Linked DNA regions of Neodiprion lecontei. The protein of the gene in region 1 purifies or fractionates together with the protein of each later gene. This does not show direct contact. Links are inferred from orthologs where the notes say so. Each region holds a gene or a part of one and is shown in the gene's direction. Other genes may lie near its edges. The genes, in order: DNA-directed RNA polymerase III subunit RPC8, DNA-directed RNA polymerase III subunit RPC3, DNA-directed RNA polymerase III subunit RPC2 and DNA-directed RNA polymerase III subunit RPC4.

Region 1 (7,247 bases):
ATGATGAAGTTAAAACTAGTGGAAAAATTATGTTGCAAAGACACAAAAAATTTTCGGAAAGCATAATTCAGATTGATTGAATGACTAATTATGAACTCTAACGGCATATCAATCGTCTAAAATCTCTAGTTTTATGCATACATCGATGATTGGAAGTATTTTATAACATTAAATCTTAAATCCGCTGATTTATCTGGAAATTTATTTTTATTTTCACTCGTAGATGTGTGTTTCGTAGTATTGTGTAGCTGGGCATTCGCTTATTTTCACCCACACGAGTGTGCGTCCTCGGGTGTGCGGCCGGCAACGTGTGCCGCGGCAACAATACCGAGGTCAGCGGTCGTGAATCGGTACAACAGGGCGAGAGGGGTGGTGCCGATATTTAATTCGTAAACGAATAATAATAATTCACCCAGACGAACAAAACAGCAATTTTCGTGGCGGCAAATCCAGATGAAATGGTGCACTCTGATTGGCCTAACGCTATCGCTTATAATTCAAAAACTATGCGTCGGACGAGCTTGCGGCAAAGAAATTCTCGGTTGGATTTGAGTCAGGTATCACGCTGGCTGGTCCGTGTCCCCAATTTAGGGACATCCTGTATTAATATCGTACGTGGACCGCATAATACTTCTTGCTGTCTGCATCATTATTACATCTGATCTATTATTATTCATGATCTATGTATAAATTCTTCTCTCGGATACCTATACTTCAATTAAATCAATGCGCTGCTAGAATTTTGGAAGAAATTCATTCTCATTATTAATCTCTTGTATTACCGACAAGTCGGTAAGTACACACAGGCCAAGTACTGGCTTCGGCTTGCCATTGCGAAGACAGTGTTACTCGGAAGATGAATGCAGCCGGCATCATGTCGAAATCGGTAACTCTTTGATGTTCTGCAATAAGTTCTCAACTCTACCGTTGGAACATCTCAGAGGGCGCAAGCGCTCGACGATTTTTGGTTGTCACACCTAAGCTCATTTGGGCAACTGTCTTTATATTCTTCAGTTAACCGCCACATCATCAATAATATTCTACCCCACGGTCTTACATACAGGTCTGAAACCCCTATGCTGGGAGCCACGATTATTCGCGTCGCTTTACCAAGAGAAAATCTCTATTCTAGCGGGACTACCAGTTGTCGCTGCGGTCTAGTTACCAGGATAAGAATAACCTCAATAAATACGGGGTATGTTCCGATATACACTGCGAGCACTGTAAGGTGTGTCGTCAATTTAGTATACTGCGAAGCCGTTCCTGTATAGTTAGCTATACTGGATACTGCTTAAAACGGAACGCAGTACAGTATACTGTGATCGACATTTTTTGGCGTTACTTTCATTTCATACATAATATTTGTTTCACATTGCAATAAACACAATTTATTCAAATTTTCCATTTTTGTTTTTAACGGCCGGTATTTTTAAATGTCAATATTCATTAATAATAATTATCAATAGTGGAAGCTGTTAAATTTCTGAACGCTGTTGATCACGTGATCAAAGCACTGAGAGCACCTTACCTCGAAAGCACCGGTGTTCACAGTAGAAAAATGGCGACGATTTATGACGTCATATATTTCCCTAGGATACTGCGACTGTATACTGTCCGTCTATAACGGAACGAATTTCTCCCCAGTAAGAGCACTGAACAGTGCTCGCAGTGTATATCGGAACATACCCACGATGAGTGGGTGAATAGCATATATGTATATGTGCGAATCCACGGCTTGTGTGGACCCCCCCCCCTCGTGTTCGTAAATTGACTGCCAGTACTAAAAATTCCCTAGGACAGAGACAGAGCTGTCCATGAACTCAGCAGCGCAAAAGAGATAAAAGATTGCTGACAGTACTGGCAGTCAATTTTCGATCACGGCCAAGATCGCAACGAACCTGGTGGCGACTACTAGTGAACACAAAAATGGCTTCAATAAGCGATCTGCCCCCCCCCCCCCAATGGAGTTTCCAGCCAGTATGCAAGACCGTGGTTTTACCCGTTTCTTTTCAAGCATGGAGAAAAGACGAGTTCCATGGACGCGCCTTGGTGGTCAATAACAAAACAAAAATAGGTTATGTGAGTTGAACTCAGGAGTTCGACGCCAAGATGTTTGTACTTGCCGAATTTGAAGACAATGTTCGAATTCGTCCGTGGATGTTTAAGCGAAAATTGAACGATGCTATTGCTGATGAGCTGAACAGAAAACTAGCTAATAAGGTAGGTGAATTCTTGGAAATTACAATCTAATCGATCTTCTACTGAAGTACAAATTTGTAAAGCAGATAAACAAATTCCTGGTATATTGTGGGCTTTATGTTCTTCTTATAACACGATTATTTTACTGAAATGTTTTACAGTAAACAGTGAACAGATTATTAGGTTAATAAAATTAAAGGAACCAAATTGACTGTTGATTCCTAACGTCTACTAACTGTATTAATATGGTATCGTTAATTTCAGGTATATCACAACGTGGGCCTGTGTATTGCTTTACATGATATGACTCGTATTGAAGATTCTTACATTTTTCCTGGAGATGGTTCTTCTCACACAAAAGTGACCTTTCGCTTTATCGTGTTCAGACCATTCGTTGAAGAGATTCTTGTTGGAAAGATTCGGAGCTGCAGTGCTGATGGTGTACATGGTAAATATTTTAATTCATCCAAGTCTGGGAAACGTCCCGAAATTACTGAGTTTCCAATAATTGCATATCTTCTTTTAAAGTATGATAGTTTTGTCGAAAAATAAGTAACTCTAAATCGTGACACAAATGAATTAAGTATATGTTATCACTCGTGATTAAAGACGAGGCTTCGAACTTGGAAATTGAGATTTCAATTAATTTAAATCATTTGAATAAATGAAACAGAATCATTAGCACATATGTAGTTGAAATACCTGTGTTGAGATTGCTGAAATTGGAATGTATCTTGGATTCAAAAAGTCCATCAGTATATCTTTACCTCAAGTTTATTTTCTGTTCTAAATTTTAAGTAAGTCAGCTAAAGTACTTGGTATTATCGAGTTTTTGGCTGTTGAATTTTTTTTTTCAAATCAACTTGCGATATTGAAATGGAAGATGGTAATCAAACTAAGAAGTCTTCCAGTACATCACTGCTAAGATAATTTTTTTTCTACTAAATCCGGTTTGCAACCTTCCGACTCATTGAAAATCGCCCAATCCCACACTTATAACACAAATATTATTCCTGTACAACTTAAAAATTAACGACTTTCTACACGTTAAACATGCGTCGAAAACCAAACTTTTTGTAAGGATGTTGACATAAAGTATTTCCATAATTTTTTTTTCTGCTGTACCGTACTGCACATATTATACTTAATATGCAACTGCAGGTGTAACACAACATTTATCTTATGTCTCGATTCAGGCTGATCTTCCAATAATTCATGAAATTACTTCCCTAGCAAACCAGAACCATGACCTATATGTCTTTTTACTTTTACACTGCTGAGCCGATGTATAATTCATGGGCAATTTTGTAGGAGACCTCAGTGTCTGTCAAATAAATAAATAATTTTTCTTTGCACAACATACATGATTTACCTAGTCTCTTTATTATCTATCGTTTTCCTGGCAAGATTTGATTACGATTTGTTGTTTTTGATATGTTCTCGACGTGATCGTGATTCCATTCTATAATTATGCTTGCTGTACTTCTTCATTTTCAATATTTCAAGGAAGGTATTATGACTAAATCTACGCTTGGTGCTCCCATTGGAGTGTTTACATTTTCACGTGGCAAGCCTTTCACGATATGCTCGAAACAACTAATACTATCAGCTTATAATCCTGTAGTTGAGAAAATTAAAATTAGAACTTGTAATTTTGTACATTCAAAACATGGAAGATCCTCGCAAAACTGTGAACAGTTGGGTATTATTAATTAGATTCAAAGAATTGTGAAATGAAGAGAGAGTTCCATTATAAGTCCTAGAAGTATTTTAAACCGTATTTCCAGACAGAACCAGTATTTTTTTTTTACATTTATTCTTTAATGTTTCTACGATTTTTTGACGCTTTATCAATGAAAAATTATTCACCCTCATGCTACATTGAAACCAATAGATCTAGTAGTAAAATGTCACAGCAAATTACATCCATTCTTTTTCACGCTGTGCAACATGAATTCTATTAATATATTGTTGTACAAATATTTTTATTATTTAGTCACTTTGGGATTTTTTGAAGACATAATTATCCCTCCTCATAAGCTACAACATCCTTCAAGATTTGATCAAACTGAGCAAGCATGGGTTTGGGAATATGATACTGGAGATGGAGATAAGCATGACTTATTTATGGATGCTGGTAAGATTTACGTCAATCCATTAAGGTCTAGTATAATCTACCCTTGTCAGTGTGATCCTTACTCGATGATCTTCCCTCAGTGGTTACTGAAGTAATATGATCGATGCTATTAAAACGTACACAGAAAAATATTATGAATCAGTTTCACCTTTTTGATATCGATTTTCCGCTCTAACCATAGCTCTGAGGAAAATGATATGTTCCAAGAACACTGGAATATCGAGAGTGTTGTAAAGTATCTAGGAACAAGTACCTCTTTTATACCTAAGTACATTCCTTAGCAAGTACCTTCTACTTGTACCTAGGTCCATTTTAAGAGTACCTGTACTTATTTATAGGTAGAATGAAACATACTTTATTTACGTAAAAATATCCCCGTAGAGCACGCTATATATATCATAAGTGCAACTTTACGTGGAATATTTATGATTTATTATCGAAATACAAAGTACAAATAATACCTCTATTGATTTTTTCAGGTGAAAGTATACGGTTTAGAATCGTGAATGAAACTTTTATTGAAACATCACCCGTTGGTCCGTCTGTTAGCACCGAAACTGTTGAAAAATCTGAAGTGAATTTAACTTCGCCATACACTCTCAGCGTACGTATATTTTGTTTAAATAAATGAGTCAAATCACACCTGTCGTTACGTAAAAAATTGCTGGTCATACAATAACTGGTAGGAACCATCTAATTATCTGGCCATGGGCGATTTCGTCAACTATGCCGGAAAAGGAAAATCTGCGCAGACTTTTTTCCGTACAGTAAACTTTCCATAACTTCTTATTCTCGGTCTACTTTGAGGGGGACAATATTACGAAGGCTATTTTCATCCTGATTAGTCTACTGTAACCGCGGTGCAGGCAATGCATTTGGGGAAACCCGAATGATGGCGAGAAAATGGGACGAAACGGACAGGATTTTCACGCAAAAAGAAATGCTTCAGAAATGAATCGAAATTCATCATAAAAAAGTTCCATAAAATAAAAGTTTTAATAGGAAAAACTTAATAAACCTAAAATGGATGATACTTTCTTCACGTTATTCATTACTTCTATATTTTGAGTTCAAAAAATGTCGAATACTATAAGAAATAGATTTTTACAAAATCATAAAATTTTTAGCCTTGGTATTAGTTTTTCCTCAGTCTCTAGATAAATTTATTTCTATACGTGGAGCCCGTTCATAGAGAAGGCAGTTTAACGATAAGCGGAAAATTATCCAGGAAGAAGTTATCGAGAGTCAGAAGTACCCTGCAATTTTTTATGATACTGCGATTTTTTTCTTCATAAAACTGTGCTAGAATTAGACTAACCGTGCATTTATCAAAGTATTTCTACAAAAACGTACTTAAATGAGTCGTGTGATTTCTGTATGATTTTACACGGTTTTAAAGAAACATCGTTCACCTTGAATTCACAATTAATACACGATAATGTCTCTTGTGGAAATAATCTTAATCAAATAACCTGAAATAATTCAGCTTATGGTTTATTAATCTGTCATATATATGTAATTTTTTTCGCACATTGACCTAAAAAGTACTATACAATACTGGAAGTTTTATAAGAAGTTATTTTCGTTGAATCACGATCCTAAAACTTTTTTCCTGAAGAAAGACATTAACATGCATAAATTCGATCATTACAGGCTGCCATAGATGAGCCAGGCCTTGGACTTCTCTCTTGGTGGGAAAATAGTTGAAAGTTCAAAGAGGAATGTATAGGATGGACGATTCATAATTGTGATATAAAATGAGGGTTTGTATACCATGAGACGAGGCAATTTGTACAATACTTTTATTTTACCTAATATCTCGTTCTACTATTCTTAGCATCTTCTTTATTATCCGTACGACAAATTATTTCATCAGCAAAACATCACGAAGTAACACAACACACATCGGTTTCGTTTTAGAATCATAACGAAATTGCAAATTTAATTAATTTCCTTTTCTCTTCGGTATTTACAATTATTACGTTCTTTGTTATCTTAAATGTATATTTTCACGCGTAAAATATTTTCAATATTCAAATACTATTACTTTCCCAGCAGCTAACTGTCATTCGCTTCTTACGTTGTCACAAAATTTCCATTTACTCCAAATAAGCCATCCAGTAAAATTATTCACTTATTATAATTACTGTTGTAATAGCAGTTCATTTAGTATTTACCTAACTTGGTGCGTACATAACATGCCAATACGACAGAAGACTTGGAGTAGAGTAAGTTTGTCAAAATAAATAATTTTACAAATACGGTTTACCAATTGTTTTACAATGTATAAGTTGTAATAACATAGCATAAAATTATATGTCAATATACTTATATAGGTATATAATTATAAATAAAAAAAAATCTCCACAGTTTCTGAGTATTATCTGTTGCCTTACTATCACTATTGACTGAGCACATCCCAATTGATTAAACTAAAACCACAATCAACATTAAATTTATTGTTTTAATAATTGGATAAATTTAATAATTATCAATTTTTATTATACAGAATATTTTCAAATTATTATCCCGAGTCGCAAATTTTGAGGACATGGGTTATCTGAGACCAAACTAAGATTTGAAATACCCAAAGGACAAACTAAGTGGACTCGTACCAAGATTCAAGATTTAAGACTGAGAAGAAGCACGCATCTGCGTTCCTATCGTGAAGTGCGGTGCTTAGAATTGGTATAACGTCACCAATTTGCCGAATTTTGAAAAAATCCTTCACCCACTGATTCTCCATAATTCATAGTATCAGATCACGGGAAAAAATCGATTTTTTCAAAGTTCTAGACTAGAATACCACCTTAAGTTTAGGCGTTTCGTCTCGGTAGATATTATACGATCGTTTTCGTTAATGATCTACTTGGGGAAATTTAGCTGTGTATAAATATCGTTTCGAAAATAC
Region 2 (4,765 bases), on another chromosome or scaffold:
CGCGGGATCCGGGAGGTTGAGAACCCGGTACTCGAAATACGTAGCGGACCCGAAGCGCGGGATCCGTGAGGTTGAGAACCCGGTACTCGAAATTTGCGGAGCGCGACTCTCATGCGTCCGCTCTACTGCGCGGTTGTGTCCCGACTGAGGAATTCGGCTAGCTGATTTTGAATTGGTGACGTCACTTTCTGAACGTCCGACATCCAAACTATGGTTTCGAACTTTGATACTATGTATGATGATGTATGATGTACGATGTATGATGTATGATGTATGATGATATGATATGATGTATAATGCTTTTAGTCTTCACGTTTCATACAAGAAATACACACTTCATCTCTCCTGCCGATTCCAGACTCAAGCGGCCAGGCCCTTCGATGGTCCGCCGTTGACTGAAGATATATCCTTCAGTTAACGGGTCAGCTAATAACGCAGTCGTTCTGCGATAGTTGGATGATGATTGCGAAGACTGTGTTACTCGGAAAGTGAATGCACCCAGCATACGGCCAGCATCATATCGAAATCGTTAACTCTCCGATGATCTGCAATAAGTTCTCAACTCTACAATTGAAACATCTCAGGGAGCGCAAGCGCACGATGATTTTCGGTTGTCACATCAAATCCCATTGGGGCAACTGTCTACATATTTTTCAGTCAACGTAGGAGGTGTTAGGAGGTGGTTGGAGGTGTTCGGAAATGGTAGGCGGTGGTTGACGCCGGCAGGAGGTGGCAGGGGGTGGTAGGAGGTGTTCGGAAATGGTGCGAGGTAATCGGTGGCAGTTGGGGGTGTTTGGCGGTGGATGCTCCACGCTTCTTGTCACGGGGATGATCGAGCTGATCGACATTTCTTAGTCGCAGTGGACAAGTAGTCTTACGTACTAACTTTGTACCGACTCATTCTCACGCTATCACATCTACACTGCTTTGGCTGCTACGAATGTTGGCGCGTGCCCGTTAGGTAGAGTTGATAGAGCAGAACCCTCTTACGCTCCCAGGTCCACCTGGGCCCACTCGCCCACCGAAAACTGTTCACCAAAATTTACCCAGGGGTATCCGTCTTCATATTCTTTAGTCAACGTTGATAATACGTGAAACTGCTAATACCCCCAAACCTGCCTAAACCCGCCCAATTGCTACAAAAAATAACTCAGAGCTGTGTGTCTGTATATATCTTTAATCAAAGCTGATGTTGCGTCTAACTCTATTTTCGTGATCAAATTCTGTTTAAACTCGAGGCTCTATCAGACAATGTTAGTCACACATTAACTAGGAGTGTATTCCGAAATATACTTGCAGTACTCATAGACATATATGTCTGTGGCAGTTCTGCACGTACTGGCAATCGCGTTCCGAAATCACGCGATAGCGTACTGCCGCCAGTCAGTGACGTCACCAAATTTGTGACGTTCTTGACGCTACTGCGGCTGGGACGTGAGGTAGTTGAAGTACTTGAGAGATGGCCACGTTCTCGGTGTAGTTGGAAAGTAGCGTTCAGATTTTACTGCGACTGGCAATTCGGAGTAAAATCGGAAAGCAGTTCGCAGTTGACTGCGTGACGTCACGGTCGGCAGTACCGAAAGTATATTTCGGAATACACCCTAGAGTTTTTCGAGACTAGGCTAGTGCTGCATGATGTTGGCAGCCTTGAAGTTGTTCATGACCCAAAATTCGGCTACTTTCAGTCGACGCTCATTGTAACCTCAAAACATTCCGATTTATTTAGAGTGAATTTAGGTAAAGCTAAGTTATGTTTGAGGTTAGACCCGTGTTTATACCTCAAGTTTATGTCAAATACTGTATTTAATGTGTGAAACATGTCAATCTACCTTTGTAAATTATGTTCCGTTTTATTGCTGGAACATTTTGGACCTGTCGTGCAAACTGTGGGTGACGATTTACTGAAATACGATCGGAGGTCACTACGAGCTATAAAAGCAGCTGTAAATCTGCCGCTTAACAAAGTACGGCTTCGTCAATTTCAGATAATTTGGAAAGAAAGAACGTATTAATTGGAATTAAATCTTATCCCATTAATCTAAACTCTTCTATTTATATACAGATCAAGGAGGTGATGTGCGTTCTTATAAAGTATGGATTTGTTGAACACAGCAAAAATGATAAACTCAACGAATATATTATTGTTCACGAGCGAATTTTGATGATCCTGCGATATCCAAGGTATCGTGCTCAATGCTTTGATTAAAATAGCTGCAAGTTATATTCGATTTATTGTCCTGTTATTCTTCTCAAACTAAACTTCCTTCAAGGTACATGTTTTTCGTCAAAAGTCTGCTGGGTGACGAAGCTGAAATTATGCTAGAAGAGCTATTAAGACGAGGCTACGAAACAGCTTCGAAAATAATAGTCAAAACTTACCAAAGACTGAAGCAACTATCGAGTGAGCGATTGTTTTTAAAAGATTTATTCAACTCTTCGTTGTTTGATTGCCATATGTACATGTAAATTCTGTAATTTTTGTCAAATCATCAGGTGACCGCCAACAACCGGTGGAAATATTGAAAGAAAAATTTGAGTCACTGGTCAAGCATCAATTTTTAATGCGTTCCATTATTACGCCAGCTGCTCTAGAGGACCCTATAGATTTAAACGTAGAAAAGCTTGACTTTAGTTTCCCAGATCTTAATCTCCTGGCACTTTCTCGAATGGCCAATGGCATCGCAGCAAACCCTGGAGACAATAATATATATTGGCGCATTAATTTCGACAGATTCACTCAAGATATCAGGTAACAATTCAAAAACCGCGAGAAATTATCAACTTGCATGAATAAAGTCATTTGCATTCATTAACTTTCTAATGAGACTGAAGTTAGTAATGTTAGAGTAACCAAATGTTGAAATAAACGTCCACATTTCACAGCTTCATATCAACTGACGGAGTTCAATTTACCAAATACAAGTTTGTCCGTCTGTATTATGGTTTATTAAATTCCAGAAAATTTCAATATTGCAAAATAACGAGTTTTTATGAAACTGCGTTGTTACGATAACGCTAAGAACTTCAACCTCATACTTTATCGTGGTATATTACATTTCAGGGATCAAATCATGGTCTCTGCTATCACTAAGCGTTTTGATGATAATGCCGGAGAGCTAATGAGGCAAATGCTGAATCTAATGTACTTGCGCACAGCTGAGTGGAGGGCAACGTCAAATCCTATACCTTACGTGGAAATAAAGGATGCAGTTAGAAAGTTGAAATATCCCATGTTAATTCAACACCTAGATCAATATTTGTGCCTTATTGGTCAGTAAATTATTTTGATTATTGACCTGATATCAGTCACTGACAACGACCATTCAAATAGCATTATATCTTCAGAATCTTGAATCTCTAATTCCAGAGATATTAAATGAAAAGAAAAAAAAATGAAATCGTGTAATTGCAGAGGAAGATACTTGCCAGTTTTTAAAAAGGGTTGGAGATAGCGGAGGTGGACAGTTTAGCATAAACATGAAACAAGCTTTCACACAGTTAACGTGGACTACTCTGGAGAATATTGTCCTTGAACGATTCGGATCAAAGGCTGCAAGAATATTTAGGTCAGTATTCAACATATTACCAAACAGCACTCATATAACGTGTAAGTAATAAGATGTTCTGTCGCAGATTGGTACGTACAAGAAAATACGTCGAGCAGGAACAGATCCAGCAGTTGGCGATGATACCTGCTAAGGAAGCTAAGCATTTAACGTACACGTTGCTGCAGGAGAATTATATCCATGTACAAGAATTAAAGAAGACGACGGTTTCGAATGCCCCGACAAAAATATTCTTCCTTTTTCACATAGACCTTGATCAGGTTGTCGGAATGGAAATAAGTCACTGCTATCATGCTCTTTATAATACCATACAGCGGCGGGATCACGAAAACACGGTGAATAAGAGGATGATTGAGAAACACTTGCGGGTACAAACGCTCACCAGTAACTTGAAGGAACATGGGGCCACAGAAGAACAGTTAAACGATGTCGGTATTTTGATAGATATAATTAAGTCTTTAACCCGATTTTAAGGAATGCTTATTAAGCTGAAATTGATTTGTTTCCCGTTATATTTACAGATAGCGGAAATGATGACCCCGTCTGAAAAGTTAGAACTGGGCAAAGTACAAGACATAATTAAAAAACTTGGTGCCAGCGAACTACAGATAGATGAAACGTTATTTTTGTTGACAATGTATTCACGGTATCAAGAAAAATAAAAACTTTGATATTCAATCACGTTGTTTGACAATGAGACAAGAATAATGAACAAATTTCATAAAGCCAGTGACCTCGGCGATCCAAGAGAATCTCGAAAGATGACTACCATTGGTAACATAGAGAAAACTAGGAGTGCTTCGATGGCATTCTCGGGATCCAAATATTTTTTTGTTTGTAAGGGCGTTCAAATAAGATTCCAACCCAATGAAATGCTCATAAACATATAAATACATTATACTGTAGATCAAAGCGATGTAAATAAATGAACAAGAACGCTGGTAAGTTTCAAGTAAGTGTGAGAAAATAAATATAACTGTTCAACTGTTCGTTTTATAAATAACCAAGAAGTTTAGTGACTTCATAAATTTCAAGACTTATACGCTATAGTTTCGTTTACGTACCGTTTGTTTTTCGCCAAATCTCGGAATCGTTACATTATTGCATCACGAGCAGACACATCATATTGCGCGCACAGACATATTATTGCAGAAAAACTTTGGCCAATAACTGAAGTAAAAAGGTAATAAAAATAATTT
Region 3 (4,761 bases), on another chromosome or scaffold:
AGAGTCAGTTATTCCGCTAAATCCTCTCACCAATCTACGCTGCAAGTCATCACATCCAGAATATTCTCAAAAAGGTAAGCCAATTAATTAAATCTTTTATCCAACAATTACTCCTCCTTCGGTTCGTTCGATTAGAGCGACAGAATGCCCGTTGCCCGGTGTATTTCAATAATTAATCGGTAATTGGTGACCCAAACTACTGATGTGAGTCTAGCTGTAGCTGTGTGTGAATGTTTCCGGTGTCTTACATCTGGAGATTTCCACTAGGTACCTTTCCGACGTCACACCACCGCGATATCCTAGTCCTACTAAACCATACTGAACTCTATTATGTCATTGTGAACAACCAAGGATTTTATTTTATTGTTAAGTTTGAAAAATTATTATGTTAAAAACTGGTGCGAGGTTGCTGTGTGACTAAATGTAATCAATTCTTTATACCTGGTGGTAATGTTACATTCTTTGTGCAAGTATTTCGACTTGAGGAAGTCTGTAAGTATTTTGAAAGAAACCAGTCCCTGCTTTAATTTTTCCTAATTTAATTATTACGAAATCTCTATCCAATATATCAATATCTTATGTAAAAAAAAATTGGTAAACTTTTCCCAAACATAAGATAATGCAAGAATTCGTAAAGAGATTCAAATAGAATGTGTATGTAGGTTGTGAAAATAAGAGGACAAGCTTTTTTTTGGAATGCTGTACACGGAGCGAGTGAGAGAGTGGTCTTATTTGATACCTCTCACTCGGCTGAAAGCCAGTCCTATCCCTTACCATTGCAGCGAGCCTTCCAGTTATATTAGAGTTCGGTGGTCAATGACGCTTCTATTTGCATCTCTTCTAGGTCTGGAGGGTAGAAGTAAGGAGAATCGACTTATGTGGGAGACAAGTTGAAAAAGTGTCCAGCTGTAAGCTGCAAGTAACAGTTCAAGAACCCACCAAAATAGCGCTAGCGCAGCTAAAGGATATGACATGAATTTAGCAGTTGTAATCGGAGTGAAGTGAGCTGAGTTGAACAATTCAATATTTTTGGTGACTAATGTAGTTAATGAAATCACAGTATACAAAACCTCAACTATTTACGTAGCCCAAAATAATTTAGTGAATATAACCCATAAAACTGCTGTGAGATAACGTGGAGAGTGATTTAATTTTTGTGAATTGTTGATCATACTTTTTAGTGATTTTGTAGTGTGTACTGTTATAAAATTTTTTAAAGTTTGGTCAATAATAGGTAAAGTTTGCATAGTGAAAAGTTGTCCAAGTGCACGAAAAATGAAAAATAAAAAGAATGATGCGCCTCAGTCTCTGTCTTTTTTCCGACCAATAGTATGTAAAATTTGCACATGTAGTTCTCTCAAATTTTGCACATGAACTTCTTTTATTTTTGGAAATTAGTTTATCAAAAAACAAAATTTATGTCAACGTTTCTCCATTTCAATATCATCTTCCATTTAATATTTATCGAATCATTGAGCGCTTAAAAATGTTGCTTTCTTTATTAATGTTTATTTTGAAAAATGTACCATAACAAAGCGGAAATCTTTCTTTCCTTGTTTACTTCTCTATCCAACTCAAATATCTTTTGTTGCTTTCTTCAAAATATACCCTTCTGCTACCGTAACGCCATCTTCAGTTGACATCTTTCGACGCAAGCTTTTTCGTACACAGAGACGGTTCTCCTTATCTCTACCGTCCATACACTTCTGGGGCCGGGCGGCCGGGTAATGAACGGTTGTCGTTAGTATGGCCAAAGCGTGGTCCTTGGTAGATTGTGTCCAATTTTCGGTTGTGCTTTGGTTTGCGATGTCTTTATATTAACACGTAAAATTATAACGATAGAACAGCGATAAAATGGGTGAAATGAAATCGAATGATTACAACAGTCTCAAAAGAGCTGAAAAATTCAGAAAAGTAGCCAAACATATCGAGGTAAAGTACCATCTCAAATATTTGTAGGTTATAACTTGATTTGATGTAATCCTACCTCGCCTAATAATGCAAAACTACAAATGCACTACGCATACCGGGCGGGTATAAATAAACGATTTTAATCGGGTTATTTTCAAGATTTTATTACTCAACAATCTCCGAATTCCAGGCAGAGGCAACTTACGGTCAAACACTGTTATTAATGACTCGATTATGTATATTTTGTTCTGAAATTTCAACAAATTTACCATATTTCTAGAACTTTATATTAAACATTTTCAAATATGTGCCAAAAAAATTGAAAGTTTTTATAAATCTTGAATGTATCTGCTTAGGAAAATATGGGGTGAAATTCGCACTAGTCGCAAGAAATGAAAATCCTTAACCAAGAAATCAGTTATTCATCACTTAGAACTCTAGTGCAATCCTTAAAAAGCCAGACTTTGCCTGTTACTTATTATGTCAATATAACTTGTTTGATGTTGTAGGATAAGTGGAAGCTCGTCCCTGCATTCCTCAAAGGCAAAGGCCTCGTTAAGCAACACATTGATTCGTTCAATTATTTCATTAATGTTGAGATAAAAAAAATCGTCAAGGCAAATGAGAAAGTATTAAGTGATGCTGATTCCTTGTTCTACGTCAAGTAAGTAGTATGACTTATCAAAATCGTGTATAATACAGGATGTCTAGCGACGCCGACTTCCTGGAAAACCGGGAATTTGAAAATGCCCTTGAAAATGTGAGAAATATATGGGAATTTCAAATAGCAATATGGAATTTTTTCATCAAATTGAACATGCATAAAATTTTGACTTAGGTCTAATAATGAAAGTGCTTACTCGAGTCATTTCACATGAAAATCATATATACGAAATATTATACTAGGTGTATAAATTAATTCTCGGCCCCTAGATTAAATTGATTTTACACCTATTTGAATCGAAAAATTTTTCCGTTATATAGGGCGTTTTGAGGCGCCATCTATGAGCTATCAAACCACTTAGTCCGATTGTGGTCCGATTAATCTAACCTCAAAAAACATAGTAAACAAAGATGTCGTTCGACAAGCAGCACTTGAGGCACTGCCTTCTTTTCGTCTTCCAACTTACAAGAAATCACAAGAAATGATTTGTTCGGCCTTGGGAGAGAGTGCTGTATCTTATAGCACATGTAAAACATGGTTTCAAAGTTTCGGGATGGAAATTTTGATCTCCAAGATGAAGATCATCCTGAAAAGCCATAAAAGGTTGAGGACGAGGAGTTGGAGAACCTACTCAACGAAAATCCTTACCAAACGCAAATGGAGCTTGCTCGAAAACTCGAGAGGATACAAAAGGAAGAGCGTTGGGTGCCCCATGATCTTACCCCAGCAAACAAAAGTCGACGCTGTGAAATTCCAATGAGCCTGCTGACCAGATTCAAACAAAAAGACTTTTTACATAAAATTGTGGCTGGGGATGAAAAGTGGATATTGTACGATAATCCTAAGAGACGAAAGTCGTGGGTTTATTCGGGGGAGCCGACAACGAGCACTGCAAAACCAAACATCCACGGGCCAAAATTGTTGTTGTGTAATTGGTGGGATTTCAAAGGTGTAATGTATTATGAGACAATCAAACCAGGGGAAACCATTACTGCTAAGCGTTATCAGGTGCAACTGATGAAATTGAGCGATGCTATCGAGGAAAAAAAACCCTTCAGCGGTAGTGGACCAAGGCAAGTGATTTTGCTGCAGGACAACGTGCGGCCATACACAGCAAAAGAAACCCTGAAAGTTACCTTCACGTTGGGCTGGGAAATTCTCCCTCATGCGGCGTATTCTCCAGACCTTGCACCTTCTGACTATTACCTTTTTCGGGCGCTACAACATCACCTGGTGGATACCCAGTTTCAATCTCCTGAGGAAGTCCGTCAGAGCATTGACGACTTCATCCAGTCAAAACCACCATCTTTCTTTCGAGCCGGGATCCGACAATTGCCCGATAAATGGAAAAAATGCGTGCAAAGTGACGGCGATTATTTTGAAGATTAGATCTGTATTCATTTTTTTATAAATAAATGTCAAAATTGTTGAAAAAAGGCCGAGAATTAATTTATACACCTAATATATTAACTCAATGGCAATCTACATGCAGTGTACGGAATGAACATAAATATGAGAAAAAGTATTTATGTGAAGGTATATTAGAATTTTATCAAGCGAATATTTTTGGTCAAGAAATATTATATCTTGGTACATTTCATACATTGTATGATTGTCAATCGACAACACTCGAGCGAGAATGAACATGCATAAACTCACTCGGCATACGGCACGGTGCCACATCGCAGTTTGCTTCGAGAGCATTACTTAATTTCAGTCCGGACCTATACAGTGAATCGAAGAGTATCAAACAACAGAGTGTCAACAAAAGAAATTGTATGACAAAAAAAAAGCAAAGAAACAAATCGCAAATTACAAGGTAAGTGTTGATTAGCTTTAATCATAGAATTTTGTGACTGTACATTGGCATAACAATATTTAGCCAATTTTGATTGTTCTGTCCTTTCCGAGCCGCTTCTAGGTCGCATAGGCCTCAGATTTTACTCCTCAATGCTAATACCCAAGTGCCAGCAGTTAAAAATACTGATTTGTTTGTTGTTTTTTTTTGCTAATATAAAAAAAAACACCTTTTTTACGTCTAGATTTCTGGCTATATGTATTACATGTGCCATAAATTTATATTATTATTTAATTTCAAATGCATTTCTCTCGTTGTAATTGTTATTTCATTGTAATTGTTATTTTTTTAATGCCGATAAGATGGAAATCTTTATGTGCTTAATATA
Region 4 (6,434 bases), on another chromosome or scaffold:
CCCCTGCATAATTGTACACACGGGTGGAAAATGGAGTCCCTGGTGGGACAGGCGACGCCGATTGTCGCTACGTTCGTTTTATTATAGCTGGTGGATCCGTGTCGCTGATCGTAGACAAAACGATCGGCCACGGAGCTAGAGGGTCGAATTGGTTTTCAGGACTCCGAGGGGACTCTATAGACGCGTGATAGAATAGCGAGGGGCCAACTCATCTGGATCCTCGACACTCTATATCGCAGCTCTTTACGTCCGATCTTTTTTCTTTTTCATTCCTCTCGACAAATTCACGGCCGGTTATATATCACGTACGTACGTACCGATTATTTTTATTACGAATAGAAACGTGCGGAAGGGCGTTCGCTTCACATGCCCTATATTACTGCAGCGCATCACGATCACGTGTGATTTATTGCAAGTCAACTTTTCACGGCTACTGATGATATAAATAGACATATATATATATATACATACCTATATAGATATACATATAACGCTGAGATTAACGTTCGTCATTTTTCTTGTCTAGAGTCACTTGTTATATTTCCGCTACACAGACGCAGTCCCCTGAAACCTGTAGCTGATGATCGCGTAATGCGGGATCACCGACTGAATTTCTATCATGTGTCTTTTAATAAGAATAAAAAATTCATCGAGTATAAGTTCAAATTAGGAATAACGAAAATTTTCATACAGAACGTCATTCTTATTCAGAAACGATTGTTAATCAATTCCGCAATCGTGTTGGCGTTGGACTTAAAATCTGATAGTTAGATTGTTGTAAACTCGTGTTATTGTTACATAAGCAACCGTTAGTTTCTGATTTGAATTTTGGAACGTAATAAAACTTGAGTAATATGAACAACAGGACGACTGGAATAAAACCGGTATTACAATTTCTCGTAGCACGAAAACGTATGCATTTTAGTCATGAAATTTAATTACCACAGTGTCTGCGAAATCCTAGAAACTCGGATGCAAATATACCGTATACTAAGGTTTATTCTGTAATCTGAGAATTTTGCATCCACCTTTCCAAATTTTGAAATTCTGAGGTAAGAATCGAATGTAAGTCACCCGAATGATCTGAGTTTACAATTATAGACACAGTCAATTGCAATAACGGAATTTCACCTCTGAAAATTTGAAAAATTTGAGAAAAAGCATTCCAAAGTTTTACGGTAAGTATGTCAACACCCGATATAATGGATTTCAAAACAGTCGTCAAATAACTGTCGCATGGACCAGAGACGCTGCTCGATCGTATCGCACTCAATGCTGCAAGACTATTCCTTAGAAGTTTGATATATTCTTGTAACTTCACACGGAACCCGTCACACCTTTGTTTTAACGATTAGGCCAGCGATATATTGTAATATGTATTACCGTCCGCACGTCAGGAATGCGCATGCAAAAGCATGGCTTACATGATTATAGGTATACAAACTACTGTACACGTATACACACGTGCTATGTATACAGACCACGAAGAATACTTCAAATTAGATAACGCTGCACGTTTCGCGCGGTGGCGCAGAGAATTATCTTTCAAGTTCCATAACACCGGAGACGGGGTAATAATATTTCTCATTTTTCTCATTCTGCATTGTTTACAATGCATGCATAAGATAACCTGCAGTTGGTAGACATATACAGCCAGTATCCACTATCCAATATCCACTCAACTTGAATCTCGTTGCCGACCTTTGCCGAGCTAATATATCATATAACAGCCAACCTGGACATAGATCCTCCAATGCAATATATATGTGTATTATATAAAAGTATTACCAGCGAAGCAAGAAAGGTCACGTCCTGAGGGTATAATTTGAAAAATAGAATCGAGGTAAGTTATACTGACTTGTGTGAAATACGATTTCAAAAATAATGGAAAAGCATGCAGTTGGTAGGAGAACGAAAATAATTATACTACATCAATTTTTCATTGAGTCTTCGATATTTTATGCCAGTAAATTGCTTCAGGAAAGAAATATTCTACTATGTACTACGAATAAATTGAAACCAGGCCTAGTAATAGAAACATATTTTTCAAATTACAATGCAAATTTTTTGAATCGCATAGCCGTGTGAATAAAGATTAATTTTGTCAATGCGCAGGTATATTGAACTTTTGTTTGCCAATGGAGTGTAAAGCATACACTGTGTAAAAGTATTGATATTAGATCAGCTTCGACAATTCTGCAAAGTTCAAAAACCATCCCATCAAATACAGTATGCAACAAACCAAACGCACCTGTCCTTTTTACTTTCTGTAGTAAACTATTCCAATTTTTCCTACACAATGAAACCAATAGCAACTTAAGTCACCGATGAAAAATCAAGCCCTCGCAGTTAGAGACATAAGTTTACTAAGAACCCAAAGTGAAACAATGAGTTCTACTTAATTGTTAACTCGTAAAATATTTATTTTGTTGTGAGGTCAAGTACTTGATATTATTTTCAGCAAGATTAATTTTAGTACGTTTAAAAACTACATTTGGAAAAATAAACTATGTTCGATGTAGATATGTTTTCCATACGGAAAATTTATATTTAAACCATTAAATAAGTTTAAAGATCGTAGATTACTGGAATGTACACGATTGCGAAAGAAGTATTGCAGCACCCTTGTATTTCAGAAGCATATAAAAATCATTTGCCAATAATTATTGCGCATATTTCAGAATGATAATACAGTGATAATAACCATAAATCGAGCGAACTCAATCGAAATAATTCTGTACTCCCATTAAGCGCAGAACTTCGTTTACTTCGAACTGATATCATTAAGAAGTTGTAAATCTCTTTTATCTCTAGCGTGTCAAAGCGTAAGGACAGTTTGTAAATTTCGCACTCGTTAAAAAATGACAGATCGTCCATGTTCCGATTGGAGGACGACAGGCCAATCAACATTCGTCCGCTCGGTCGGTATACAACACACATGTGTAGGCAACTGTACGTATGCACACGTGCCCCACAGACGCCTGGCCTAACAATAAGTCTAAACAAATAAACTATTCTAGTGGACAGTGGCTAATTTCAACTGTCGCAGACTTAAATATTTTCTATTATAACATAACGGCAGTACATCACTATATTTGGTAAACAGATCAGCATTGGATTTTGAACCAGTCCGAGTCAACACGCCGAATACACGTTATATCCAATTTTAGGTTAGCTTGAGTAAGGATATGTTACTATCGCAAACGGCTATTTGAGTGAAAACGCAATCGATTAATATTATTTTTCAGGTAACTTGTATCTTGGATTAATAGCGTGAGAGAATGTCAGTTAATTTAGCAATTAAATTAACTAAATTTACTGAAATTCTCTAGTACTATCAGCGTAGATTTACTCGTCATGCCATAAAACTGCTTGACTGCTTTTATTTCTTTGTTTTCTAGTTTTATATAAACTGAACTGTTATCCAGGTTCATGACTGACTTTTAATTGGATTTCCTTTAGAAATGGACTCGGATAAATCAAAAAACAGCAGAGAACTGGATCCAAAAATAAAGATCAAAGTAGAACCGGGTACATCAGGATCAACGGTGTTAACAAATGTGAAAATTGAGGCTGGACTACCTTCTACGAGGCTTACTTCATTTAGATCGCCACGAGATTGGACACTAGGCGGGCATGTGAAACTAGAAAAACCAAAAAAACTGTATACTCCAAACTTGAACGTACAACGAAATAAAGCTAAAGAGTAAGCAGGAATCACATTTATACTATTGTTATCAAGGCATCATAGATGTAGTAATCTGTTTTACTTTGCAGTGATCACACTACTGTAAAAAATAATACTAAAGTTCCAAGAGAAAGAGGCCGCGGAAGAGGACAAAGTACAAGAGGTAGAGGCAAAGGAAAAGTCTCGGATAACATTATCCAGGTTAGGTTATCTTTGTTAATCAGAAGTTGGATTACAGTGTTCAAACATTCATGGTTGATTTTTTGTATATATGTACTCTTTGCAGACTGACGGAGTATTCTCCAGTGGTATAGCAGATTCTTCACGAGCCAAAAAAAGATTCAGTAGTTACAGAGATGGTAGCAATTTGAGCGGCAATCGAAGTGCCAGTACTGTTTTAGAAAAACAAAAATTAAATTTAAACCAGAAGATTGATAAAGCTGAAGAAGAAGAGAAACTCAAGCACCTGCTTCGAGATGATTTTATCGAAAATGGAGCTGTACCAGATATGGAAAATGCACCAGTGATGCTACCTATGGCTGATGATGGTCAGTATCAAACCTATTTTAATTAGCCTTCATGCAAGTTTGATGAGACAACTAAACTTCTGTCACTTTTTTTTTGTTCATTTATCATTCCAGCACAGTTATACAAGAAAGAATTCAAGGAAGAACCCCAAGTAATAAAGGCTGATGGATTAGATGAAGATGTGAAACCAGTAATCTTAGAAAACGGAAAAGGTACGTCACAAAAATTATTTTGTAGGAGTTTCCAGATCTATGGAATAAAAAATCTTCAAACAAATGGCAGAAGTAAAATACTTACGGACTGCACATCGATTTGAATCATCAAATTTTAAAGTTCTTAAATTAATTAATTTCTTAATCATAAAATTTGGACTGATTGAAGTACTTCAAATTTTTTCAGTATTGAAACAAATAATCTTCTAAGAGGAAAAAAAATTATGTCGTGCATGATTACTGTCATTCATTACGAAACGTTGCAATAATAATTAATTCTTAAAATTTTCCATTCTTTCCAGTATCAGAAGAACATAACACAGCAAAAACTTCGTTACCGAAGAAATCGCTAACAGAGGAGAAAAAACTTATCACTATTCCACAAATTGTTGCAAACGAAGCAAATAATTACATTTTACTACAGGTACAACCGATGAAATTTTTTTTTTTTTTTTCACTTTGCACAGATATGCCTTGGACTGAACCTTATCCTGTGGCGTAAATTATACGTTGTACTTTACAGTTTCCCGATTGCCTACCTGGACTTAAAACAGATGATGAATTGAGTGATCCAAAAGCGAGAAGAACAACCGATTTAGGTTCAGCAAATCCTAGTGATATCAATCCCAAGACTGAATACTGTACGCTGAAAAACTTGAAGGAAGGAATGCTAGGGAAATTACAAATACTAAAATCTGGACAAGCGAGACTTGTTTTAGGGGATAACAAATTAATTGTAGATGTGGGCTCGCACATCAGTTTCAGACAAGTAAGTTCAAGTGAAAAAATTCTGTGATCTTATCAACGTCATCATGTGGGTAAAGGCGTGCATTTGTTGAAACTTTTCTTTTGTTTCAGGATCTAATCGCTGCCAAATTGGACCTTGAAAAACTTGAAGGCGAACTTATTAACCTTGGCTCAGTCAGCAGTACCCTTATTTGCTTACCCGACTGGGAATCAATGTTAGATAATCTTTGAACTTATGAGAAAAGCAAATTTCAATTGTTTTAACTTATTAATTGTACTAGATATTATTCTGGCTGTTGTAAAAATTAAACGAAATCTGAAATTCGAAGCCCTCTCTTGCGTGGGATATCGCAATTGAAGTACTCTTTAAAAAAATCGCAAGTTCATGAAAATCATATTCCATAAAAAAAAAACTCATAAAATATAGTGCGGAAACATTGGGTGATAAAATTGAGGCCCCGTAAATTTTTTCCTTGTATTATTAAGTTAATTATTTCACATCTCAACTAAAATTTCTAGTGATAATATGATATTTATGTATTTAAACGTGGAAAAAAAGTTACAAGTTTTTCTTAGTTGAAACAGTTTTTATTTCACGGACACGCGATTCATACGATTTCACAATGTTAGGTATGCTCTTCGATTGTCACACATCCTTTCACATGTCAACTTAATTTACAAATTAATTGATTATTTCACACTGCATGGTATGAACACTTTTTGGCAATCAGAAACGTAAAAAAAACTTTTACCTCTAGTTTGAATTTCTGATTGCATGAGAATTACAACAAAAAACGAGTTGTAAAATTACTAGCATAGATACAATCAACTATTGTAAGTTTTAGTTTTAGTTTTTTATGGTACTTTTTTTTTATAAATACCAAATTATTTTTTAATGGTAATATCAAAGAAGTTGCCTCAAAAATTGCAACCGCAGTCTGTTAAAATACAAAACCGTTAATTATCAGTTTTGTTTGTTGGATCGGGTGAATCGTTACTTTGGCATAGCCAACCTAAGAAATAACAGCCTATAATTATTTGAAATACGCCAACTTCTCTGACATTATCTTGCATGAATTACGCACAATCCATTTAGTCACTTTGTTCAATACTGTGTCCTTTCTTCATAGATTTCAAGGCTTTTTCGCGTAGTTTTTTTTCGAGTTCTTCCGTGTTCCCCTCACTTGCATCCGATTCTTCAGACTCTACAGCCTTCTTTTTTTTATGCTTACGATGTTTCTTATGCTTTTTGTGTTTTT

Evidence for each region.
Region 2: the proteins of DNA-directed RNA polymerase III subunit RPC8 (region 1) and DNA-directed RNA polymerase III subunit RPC3 purify together in Homo sapiens (affinity purification with mass spectrometry; 5 studies listed by BioGRID and IntAct, with this or other methods). This does not show direct contact. The link is inferred for Neodiprion lecontei from reciprocal best matches to the Homo sapiens genes POLR3H and POLR3C.
Region 3: the proteins of DNA-directed RNA polymerase III subunit RPC8 (region 1) and DNA-directed RNA polymerase III subunit RPC2 purify together in Homo sapiens (affinity purification with mass spectrometry; 8 studies listed by BioGRID and IntAct, with this or other methods). This does not show direct contact. The link is inferred for Neodiprion lecontei from reciprocal best matches to the Homo sapiens genes POLR3H and POLR3B.
Region 4: the proteins of DNA-directed RNA polymerase III subunit RPC8 (region 1) and DNA-directed RNA polymerase III subunit RPC4 purify together in Homo sapiens (affinity purification with mass spectrometry; 6 studies listed by BioGRID and IntAct, counting the BioPlex papers as one, with this or other methods). This does not show direct contact. The link is inferred for Neodiprion lecontei from reciprocal best matches to the Homo sapiens genes POLR3H and POLR3D.

Annotation. Positions count from the first base shown.
Region 1 is NC_060262.1:18,917,727-18,924,973, reverse strand, and holds DNA-directed RNA polymerase III subunit RPC8, read left to right. Parts: upstream 1-1,967; 5' UTR 1,968-2,109; coding exon 2,110-2,220; intron 2,221-2,463; coding exon 2,464-2,647; intron 2,648-3,054; exon of another isoform or gene 3,055-4,195; coding exon 4,196-4,336; exon of another isoform or gene 4,337-4,815; coding exon 4,816-4,940; exon of another isoform or gene 4,941-5,989; coding exon 5,990-6,043; 3' UTR 6,044-6,708; downstream 6,709-7,247.
Region 2 is NC_060265.1:6,940,898-6,945,662, forward strand, and holds DNA-directed RNA polymerase III subunit RPC3, read left to right. Parts: upstream 1-1,560; 5' UTR 1,561-1,817; coding exon 1,818-1,964; intron 1,965-2,062; coding exon 2,063-2,181; intron 2,182-2,270; coding exon 2,271-2,401; intron 2,402-2,493; coding exon 2,494-2,749; intron 2,750-3,061; coding exon 3,062-3,270; intron 3,271-3,412; coding exon 3,413-3,566; intron 3,567-3,633; coding exon 3,634-3,994; intron 3,995-4,087; coding exon 4,088-4,228; 3' UTR 4,229-4,244; downstream 4,245-4,765. UniProt on the Homo sapiens protein: DNA-dependent RNA polymerase catalyzes the transcription of DNA into RNA using the four ribonucleoside triphosphates as substrates.
Region 3 is NC_060260.1:21,914,723-21,919,483, forward strand, and holds the start of DNA-directed RNA polymerase III subunit RPC2, read left to right. Parts: upstream 1-1,756; 5' UTR 1,757-1,854; coding exon 1,855-1,932; intron 1,933-2,420; coding exon 2,421-2,575; intron 2,576-4,761. UniProt on the Homo sapiens protein: Catalytic core component of RNA polymerase III (Pol III), a DNA-dependent RNA polymerase which synthesizes small non-coding RNAs using the four ribonucleoside triphosphates as substrates.
Region 4 is NC_060260.1:24,686,171-24,692,604, forward strand, and holds DNA-directed RNA polymerase III subunit RPC4, read left to right. Parts: upstream 1-1,819; 5' UTR 1,820-1,843; intron 1,844-2,933; exon of another isoform or gene 2,934-3,248; intron 3,249-3,462; 5' UTR 3,463-3,464; coding exon 3,465-3,706; intron 3,707-3,777; coding exon 3,778-3,889; intron 3,890-3,974; coding exon 3,975-4,236; intron 4,237-4,329; coding exon 4,330-4,428; intron 4,429-4,730; coding exon 4,731-4,852; intron 4,853-4,951; coding exon 4,952-5,197; intron 5,198-5,286; coding exon 5,287-5,406; 3' UTR 5,407-5,909; downstream 5,910-6,434. Other genes in the region: serine/arginine repetitive matrix protein 1, read right to left, coding at 6,268-6,434. UniProt on the Homo sapiens protein: DNA-dependent RNA polymerase catalyzes the transcription of DNA into RNA using the four ribonucleoside triphosphates as substrates.